Oryzias latipes: one gene and its partner. The protein of the gene in region 1 binds, or shares a complex with, the protein of each later gene. Links are inferred from orthologs where the notes say so. Each region holds a gene or a part of one and is shown in the gene's direction. Other genes may lie near its edges.

The links.
Region 2: xab2 (region 1) and ppie share a complex: the UniProt entries of both Homo sapiens proteins name them as parts of the XAB2 complex. The link is inferred for Oryzias latipes from reciprocal best matches to the Homo sapiens genes XAB2 and PPIE.

Annotation. Positions count from the first base shown.
Region 1 is NC_019866.2:8,755,268-8,759,861, reverse strand, and holds the start of xab2 (pre-mRNA-splicing factor SYF1), read left to right. Parts: upstream 1-1,649; 5' UTR 1,650-1,756; coding exon 1,757-1,792; intron 1,793-2,153; coding exon 2,154-2,302; intron 2,303-2,641; coding exon 2,642-2,765; intron 2,766-2,856; coding exon 2,857-3,054; intron 3,055-3,403; coding exon 3,404-3,538; intron 3,539-3,627; coding exon 3,628-3,792; intron 3,793-3,882; coding exon 3,883-4,027; intron 4,028-4,112; coding exon 4,113-4,264; intron 4,265-4,531; coding exon 4,532-4,594. UniProt on the Homo sapiens protein: Involved in pre-mRNA splicing as component of the spliceosome. Involved in transcription-coupled repair (TCR), transcription and pre-mRNA splicing.
Region 2 is NC_019880.2:16,796,420-16,801,020, reverse strand, and holds the start of ppie (peptidyl-prolyl cis-trans isomerase E), read left to right. Parts: upstream 1-1,603; 5' UTR 1,604-1,673; coding exon 1,674-1,704; intron 1,705-2,024; coding exon 2,025-2,123; intron 2,124-2,212; coding exon 2,213-2,256; intron 2,257-2,541; coding exon 2,542-2,568; intron 2,569-2,639; coding exon 2,640-2,721; intron 2,722-2,803; coding exon 2,804-2,907; intron 2,908-3,671; coding exon 3,672-3,795; intron 3,796-4,601. UniProt on the Homo sapiens protein: Involved in pre-mRNA splicing as component of the spliceosome. Combines RNA-binding and PPIase activities.

The DNA of each region.
Region 1 (4,594 bases):
GCAGGGAATCTTGGGTGTGTGTATATATATATATATATATATATATATATATATATATATATATATATATATATATATATATATATATATATATATAAAATCATAAAGAAAACAAAAAAACACAACTTCAGAGTTTGATATTGGTACAAAATAAAGGGGGATGACTAAACTAAACTGTCAAAGATACTGGGAACATCGCTCAGTATTTTATATACTGTTATCGCTTTGGGTGAATTGATTGCTCTTATGGATTTTAGGTATAAATTATATTCAACTAAACTACAAACAGATACAAATACAAAATTTCCTGCTATGCTGTAACTACAATATTCCAAAAATCCCATTGAAACTGTCAAATTTTCATCAACAGGTTCTCTTAGCCTGGGCTCTGATCTACAAACACAACTTTTCTCCACAGAGTTGTATTATTTGGAACAACTGTAATATTGTCTATAATAGGAAAACTCTGTTTTTAAGTAACTGGTTTAATAATGGTATAATTTTCCTCAATCAATTATTCAAAGAACCTGGATTATTATATAACTACTCAGATTTCACAATGCAGTATAAAATACCAATGACTCCCAAAGAATTTGCAGTAGTGTTTGATGCCGTCCCGTCCGGGCTTTGCATATTATTCAAGGGTTTCTACAGCGCTCATTCTCTGACTTTTCATCCTCCTGATGTGCTCAAGTCCCCTCTGGGTCGTTTCTGCTTCACTTCTGCTAAACAGTTGAACTCAAAAATCAGTGCTTTGTTCCAAGATAATTTAGTTTTTTGTTCCATCGGCTACCTCTTATTGGGCTAATTTCACTTCTAAAATTGAATGGAAAAAAGTCTGGTCTTTACCACAAAAAATACTTCTTAACAAATAAAGTCAAAGAAATCTCTTTTAAACTTCTACACAGATTTAATCCAGCAAAACAATATTTAACTAAATTTAAAGCTGACATAAACACTAACTGTACTTTCTGCCAGAAACAACCTGAAACCTGCGCCCATTTATTCTGGTCTTGTGAATTCACATACAAATTTTGGAAAAACTTTAACAAGTTTATCTCCGACTCTATTTTGGCTGATTTACAACTTTATTATAAAAACATACTATTTGGTTTTCATAGCTTTGATCTCAAAGATCGAGTTGCTTTCTTTTGCATAAACATGTTATTATTTATGGATAAATTTCACTTTCACAAAAGCAAATTTTCTAATAAAAAACCTGATTTATTTGTGTTCAAACTGGAACTGCAGCAATATTTAAACTTGATTTCAGCTTCAAAAAATACAAAAGCTCACAAAACAATTAACATTTGTAAATCTTTTGGAATGATAACATAAGTTTACTCTCGCATTTTCTCTTTTTATTTTATCTATTTTTTCATATATTTATTTTTATTTTTTTGTTTTAATTTTTTATTTTTTGTGTGTTTTATTAATATTTAGAATCTTTCTAAGAATGTAACACGTTTAGTCTGTATTCAGAAGTGTAATTGTTGTTAATTTTTCATTTTGTGGTTCTGTATGTTGCAATTGTTCAATAAAAAAAGGAAATTTCATATTCACAAATCAAAAATAAATAAATAAATAAATAAATATATAAACTACAAACAGCAGACATGTAGTCTTTTCTTGCGCCTGCGCACTCATTGACCAGGAACAGGAAGTTACGCAAGCTAACGCACGCACCGCGTCTTCTAGCTAGCCTACCAAAGTTAGCATCACAAATATCCAGAAAAGCCATTTATTCTTGGTAGAAATGCCATCATTAAACGGAAAAGCTGATGTTATTTTTGTAAGTTACTCTATGGTGTATATCATTTTATCTTTTTGTTTTTAAGAGTGTTTTCTGGCCAACTCTAACTTTCCGTGTAGCTAACCACACTGCGTCTCGGCGTTGCTTTTCGAGATTTATGCTAACTGCTACAGTGTTTAGGTTAACTCTATTTGCAGGGTTTTAACCATCCATGCCCTTGTAATTTTGTGGTTTTCAAATTTTTATATAGATGTTTTTAATATCAAAGGTCGTAGTTAAACGAAAACCAGTTGTTCGTGTTAGTTTAAGCTCTAAAGAGAATGGTTAATAATTCCAAATAAATAAAATAAAAACACATTTTAAAAAGAGTCCACTATGTTTTCTGTGTTTCTTTTATCAGGAAGATGATGACCTGCCTTACGAAGAGGAGATCATCAGGAATCCGTACTCTGTTAAGTGTTGGATGCGTTACATTGAATTCAAACAAAATGGACTTAAAACTAACCTTAACATGATATATGAGCGGGCTTTGAAGGAACTACCTGGAAGGTAACTGCTTTCCATCATCATCTATATTATTAAGAATAGCTTTTTATTTAAAACATTAGACTTGAAAAAATACGTTTAGAATGGCCAAAGTAAAAGTAATTTTAACTAGGGCATGTAAAGGGATTTGATTATATTCAGTACCAGTTATATTCTTGTGTTTGTCCTGACTTGTTAGGAGTTTTAGTGATATGTTTCTTAAATGAAAAAAGTTGAATAGCTTTTAAAATTTAAAAGCGACATTTCTTAAACAAATAGGTTATTTTACTTTAATCTAAAACTGAAAATATACAAAGCGGATCTTGTTTAAGGTTTAAGCCTTAACTTTTTCTCTGTTTTCAGCTATAAGTTGTGGTATAATTACCTGAGAGAGAGGCGGAAACAGGTTAAAGGGAAATGCATCACTGAACCAGCCTATGAGGAAGCCAACAATTGTCATGAGAGGGCTCTGGTGTTCATGCACAAGGTAATGGTCCATACATGCTAAATTAATAATAAAAAAGATGAAATGATTGCTTTCAAAGGTTAATAATCTATCCTTTTTTTCCTGAATATAGATGCCTAGAATATGGCTCGATTACTGCCAGTTCCTCGTGTTGCAGTGTAAAATCACAAGAAGTCGGCGGACTTTCGACCGCGCTCTCAGAGCCCTTCCTGTAACTCAACATCCACGAATCTGGCCCTTGTATCTCCGCTTTGTCCATAATCTTCCCGTGCCTGAGACGGCTGTCCGAGTATACCGCAGATACCTTAAGGTTGGAAAGAAATTCACAAAGAAAATACACATTTTCTTAGATTCAGACAAATGCAGTAAAGTTTCTTTAAGAAGTTGCATTAATAAGTTTTCATTGTGTGGGGTCGTGTGTTATGTGTTAACAGAGGGGAGTGGGAAGGGTGGGTTGGGTTTTTATTGTAATATTGTGTATGTTTTTTTTTTTTTTTTTTAATGTAAAGCGCTTTGAGTTGTGCAAGGCATAAGAAGCACTTTTTTTTTAAATAAAGTTTGATTTGATTTTCATGTAAAGTTTTTCAAAACTAGAAATGCACACTAACAGTTCCTTAAATAATTCAAAATGGGTTTTCTTTTTTTTTTTTTACGATTAGCTGTCTCCAGAGAATGCGGAAGAATACATAGGGTATTTGCGAACTGTTGGTCGCTTGGACGAAGCAGCTGTACGGCTAGCTGCAATCGTCAATGATGAGAACTTTGTGTCCAAAGAGGGCAAATCCAACTATCAGGTAAGCTTTAGATATATTGACTTATCGGGCAATCATTCAATTTGAATATGAACATGTTATTTAAACCTTTCTTTTTATGTTTTGTTCAGCTGTGGCACGAGCTCTGCGACCTGATCTCCCAGAATCCTGATAAGGTGACCTCCCTAAATGTGGGAGCTATCATCCGAGGAGGTCTCACTCGCTTCACAGACCAGCTGGGGAAACTTTGGTGCTCTTTGGCTGACTATTACATCAGGAGTGGCCACTTTGAGAAAGTTTGTTTCTCCTAATAGCTCCAATATTTCATGCAAAATTCACTGGAAGATGTTAATGTAACATCCTTTTTATTTTTTTTTGTTTTTAAGGCTCGAGATGTGTATGAGGAAGCCATCCTTACAGTGGTCACTGTAAGAGACTTTACACAGGTTTTTGATAGTTATGCTCAGTTTGAGGAGAGCATGATTGCTGCTAAGATGGAGACCAATTCTGAGATGGGGCAGGATGAAGAGGGTTTGTCGTTATTATTTCATGTTTTCAACAGTACTTGCATTCACCCAATTAAGATTTACCTTCTTTCTTATCTTTCCATCCATAGATGACGTAGACCTGGAGCTTAGACTGGCTCGCTTTGAGCAACTCATAGCTCGTCGACCACTTTTGCTCAACAGTGTGCTCCTAAGGCAGAACCCCCATAATGTCCACGAGTGGCACAAGAGAGTAAAACTGTATGAGGGGACTCCACGGCAGGTGAATTTTGGGCTCCTGTACTCCTCTAGCCAATTTCATGCCATAATAGTTTAACTTTTTATTGGTGCTTTTCATCACATATCTACAATGTGGGCAAATAGTAAACATACATTACTAATTGCCATCTTTAGCAATTAGTCTTGGTTGATGTGGAATCTTTTGAGATGTGTATAGTGGGGAAAAAAAAGCCTCAGATGAAACTCCCTATTATTTAATACAATACAAATACAAATTTTTTGTGTTTTCTTTCGTTTACTTTCTTTCTAGATTATTAACACTTTTACAGAGGCTGTGCAAACTGTGGATCCAATGAAAGCCACTGGAAAGCCA
Region 2 (4,601 bases), on another chromosome or scaffold:
CATTGCTCTATGATCTAAATGTTTTGAAGGTGCCAATTGCACTGTGGTGTAGTGGTTAGCACTCGCCTCACTTCAAGACAACTCTGGATGTGACTATTCTGTGTGGAGTTTCCATGTTCTCCCAGTGCATGGTTGGGTTTTCTCAGTTTCCTCCCATAGCCCAAAAATGTGCTTCATGGTTTGTTGGCAATTGATTTGGCAATCGGTTAGTTCAAAAGGGGCCCAAGTCCACAATTTTTCAAAATAGAGATATTATATGTTTTATGGTCTTCAAGGGAAAAGCTATATGATTATGTGCAAAAAAGTCCCAAGTCTGTTGTAATGTATTGACTATGCTTGACATTTAAAATGCATTAAGTGCAAAATTCCTGAACTTGGGCCTCTATTGTATGGGTTTAGTTTTATCCCATTGATGGCAGCACTAGTTATCCAATATGGCAACGCCCCTGTTTAATACAAGAAGTGCCCAAGTCCAGAGACTTTAGTTTGCTAGTCCTCTGAAATTATAAAAATGAGGTGCTTCATATTATAGCATTTGTAAGCTATGAGCTGGTGCTAAATCTGGGTAAAGTATTAATCATTTGGTGTTGCCTCCCTTTAAGCTATGCAATTAAAATCATTTCCTGAAAAAAAAACCTCTTGGACTTGGGCCCCTTTTGAACTAACCGATTCAATTCTGAATTGTCCCTTAGGTGTGAATGTGAGTGTGTGTGGCCTTGTGACAGGCTGGTGACATGTCCAGGGTGCACCCCCCTTTTGCCCAACAGTGTCTGGGATAGGCTCCAGCAACAGAGTGAAACCAAACGAGATTCGATGGGTTTGGGAAATGGATGGTTTGGATGTATCATTTGGAACAAACTACCAAAAATTCTCTGTAAGTGAGAATTTACATTTAAAAATGTTGATCTTTTTTAGCTGTTGACCTGTTCTTCTGAATCGGCCATAAACACAGCTTTCATCAGTGAATTATAATGTTATTGTTTGTAGTGAAACACAATGTATTGTGCTTTACAACTCTAGTGCTACAAAGGGAGTGGGGTAAAATTGTGCCCTTAGGGTTTTGTTTCAGATAAAAAGTATAAAACCTTAGTTAAAACATGGTTGGGTTTCCGTAAGAAGAAGGTGAGGACTGCTGGGTCACTAAAAGCAGTGCTTCTCAACCTTTTCCCACTTTCTCTGCCAGGTAACCCTCAACAGTAAATCAGTTTAGAAATACAGAAAATTTATGGAACAATAAGATAAAAAATAATTTGAAAGTAAAAACAGTTTAAAGGGATTTAGCAGCATTATAACAACAAAACTCTAAAGCAAAAATTACATAACATTAGTGTATTTTAGCTGTCCAAAAATTATTGTGATACATAAAGTATATATTATATTTGAAACCACTGAGCTGTTTTGTTTTATTTTTAAAACATAGTTAGGTATTTCCATTTAAAAAACAAAAAAGACAAAAAGCCAAAACGACAAATATGATTGTTTTCATCTGAAAACTCTGGCACATTTCACAAATGTGTTTGAAAAGAGTCATATTGACGGTCATTGGCTCTATAGATCAGTTGCTGGACCTAAATATGACCAATAGAGGGCGCTGTGGATAGTTGAAGAGGCGGGCTTCCTTTTGATTCCACCAATCAGAGGCCGAGGTTAAAGTTCAACATCTAGAATCCAATATGGCGTCGAATAAAAGGGTTCTGTATGTCGGTAAGTAATGATAACTTTTTAAATTAACTATGAATGTCAGACCGATCAAGTTACACTCCACTCTGAACTAAAACAGAAATTAAAAGCTCTTTTATGCTAATTCCTTCTATAAAAACTTTTTTTTACCATTTATGCGGGGAAAACCAAGGCGAGTCAACGTTGTATTCCGGTCTTATAGAAACCATCACATGCTGCTAAGCCAACTCATACAGAGCTCACTGTTTTCGACTTTAACATCCTGGTTAATGTACGATGTGTTCATTCAAAAGTACGAAGATGAAGCATTGAGTGTTGAGTGTTTGCGCTGCTGCTTCCTCCAGGTGGTTTGGCGGAGGAGGTGGATGAGAAGGTTTTACACGCAGCCTTTATTCCCTTTGGAGACATCACAGACATCCAGATACCCCTGGATTATGAAACAGGTCAGATCAAGTTTTATTTTATAATCATATAACAAAAAAACAAAAAAAAAACCCTGATCATTTAAGTATTTTTTGTGCTTACATTTTAGAAAAGCACAGAGGCTTTGGGTTCATTGAGTTTGAGCTGGCAGAGGTTTGTGCTTTTAAAGTTTTCTCCTTTTGAATTGAATTATTGATGGCACAAAGGATGGATTCAGAAAACTCATTTTTTAAAAGGTATTCACTTGAAAAACGTTATAGATTCACCAAACCAACAAGAAAAACTTTTATTTGTTGTTTTTTTTAAAGTGCAAATCAAACTCTTTGATTTGATCATATTAATTTGAAAATAACCCAGAGTTGTATCGGTGAATCTTTAACAAAAGTGAGCTTTTATTTTCTTGAATGCATCCCTTTCTCATCACTGTCTTTCCTTCAGGATGCAGCAGCAGCTATTGATAACATGGTAAGTGACTAACAGTTCTTCTTATTCTTTAAAAAGATTGGGTTTAAATTGTAGCTTTTTTTTGCTGCCAGAATGAGTCTGAACTTTTTGGACGGACTATCCGAGTGAACATCGCTAAGCCCATGAGAATCAAAGAGGGTTCTTCTCGACCAGGTAATCATAGAAGAAGATTCTTAAAATCTGCTTTGTTTTTTATGATGTGGTTTTGACCTGTAACTCTTGTTTTTGTGTTCAGTGTGGTCGGATGACGACTGGCTGAAGAAGTTTTCGGGGAAAACCTTGGAGGAAGCCGAGGCTGAGGCGGTAGCAGCAGGAGAGGCACCCAGCAAAACACAGGAGGTGAGAACTTTTTGTTTTGTTTTCAGGACACTCAGTTTATTCAGGGAATTAGATTCTAGATATTTAAGGTATAAGGTCACTGCATAAACATGTAGTAAATGAGCAATCTTTTTTTCTCTTTAAATCTTAATTTTTAGAGTATAGTTCAATAAATTTAAATGTACAGACCCGTTAGAGGGCCTTTATTTTATTTTTTCACTGAGAAAAGCAGGTTTTGGTGAAATATTGTTGCGTCAGTGTAAGACTAAAAATGAAGAGTGTAAAATGTACAGTGAATGATGAAATGTCATGTCAGGAGTGAAAATCTGTCTAATTTATATAAAAACACATCAAAACGTGACTCATCAAAAAAGCAGGTTTGTGTTTACAATCCAGAGAAATCTGCATTTTCTTAGTAATCCTCATTTAGATTAGTTTGATTGATCCACTCTCCCAATTAGAGAAACCAACTTTATCACTCGCATAACAGTAATAAAATTAGAATTAAAATTGATTCACTGGAGGAAGCAGGTTTCTTATTAAATGCACTAAATGAGTAAATTATCTGGGTGTGTGGGTTTATTTGGAAAGTCTTGGCGCATTTGAACAACAAAGGGAATCAGAAATCCTTTACAGCATTTGAGCAGAAATTACTTCCATAACGGTTGAGAGATAAAGTTAAAAAAAAAAACATTTGTAGGACTATTTTTCATTTATTTATTCATTTTTGCAGGGCTTTGTGTAGGCAATAAAAATATGATAAATGCATTTTTCTGATTTTGCAGGGGGAGCCACAGGCTAAAAAGAGCCGAGTAAATCCACAGGTCTACATGGACATCAAGATTGGGAACAAAGCAGCAGGAAGACTGCGCTTCCTCCTGCGGGCGGACATCGTTCCGATGACTGCAGGTCTGCACACTCAACCAAAAGATGAAGCAAATATTAACATTCTTCTAAAAAAGTGCAAACATTTGCAGTAGGGGCAAAAATGTATTCAGTCAGCTACTATTGTGCAAGCTCTCCCACTTAAAAAGATGAGAGAAGCCTGTCATTTTCATCATAGGTATACCTCAACTATGAAAGACAAATTGAAGGAAAAAAATCAATAATTTACAATTAAATTCTCAAGAAATGTGATTTTTTTTTTCTTCTAATTTTGTTTCTCATAGTTGAGGTATACCTATGATGAAAATGACAGCCTCTCATCTTCTTAGGTAGAAGAACTTGACCAATTGGTAGCCGACTAAACACCATTTAACCCCACTGTGTCCTTTAGTCTCTCTTTGAGGTTGCTGATGCACACTCTATTTACTTTGAATATAATATCAGTCTTCTAAATTCTTTATAAATTATTCAAAAAATGTTTTTCTTTCTGTTTTTATAATAAAAAATAAACCTACTCCCCAATTCTGATTTGAGACAGGACCTGAACATATTGAGATTTCATATCCTATTTTTTTTTTTAGTCTGGGGCTGTGGTCTTACAATATATGACATAACCGAGACCCCTGTTGGAGAGAAATGGCAAAACCACAACTACACATTAAAAAGTCATGTTTCAAACAAATATAGGGACTTTCACCATATGGAAATTGCAGCAGCAATCCTTCACTTTAAAGGATCTAAATAGCATTATTTAGACATTTCTGTAATATGTACCATGTCTCACAAAAGGACAAAAGTAACAGCCTCTCAGCTCCCCGTCCATCAGTCAA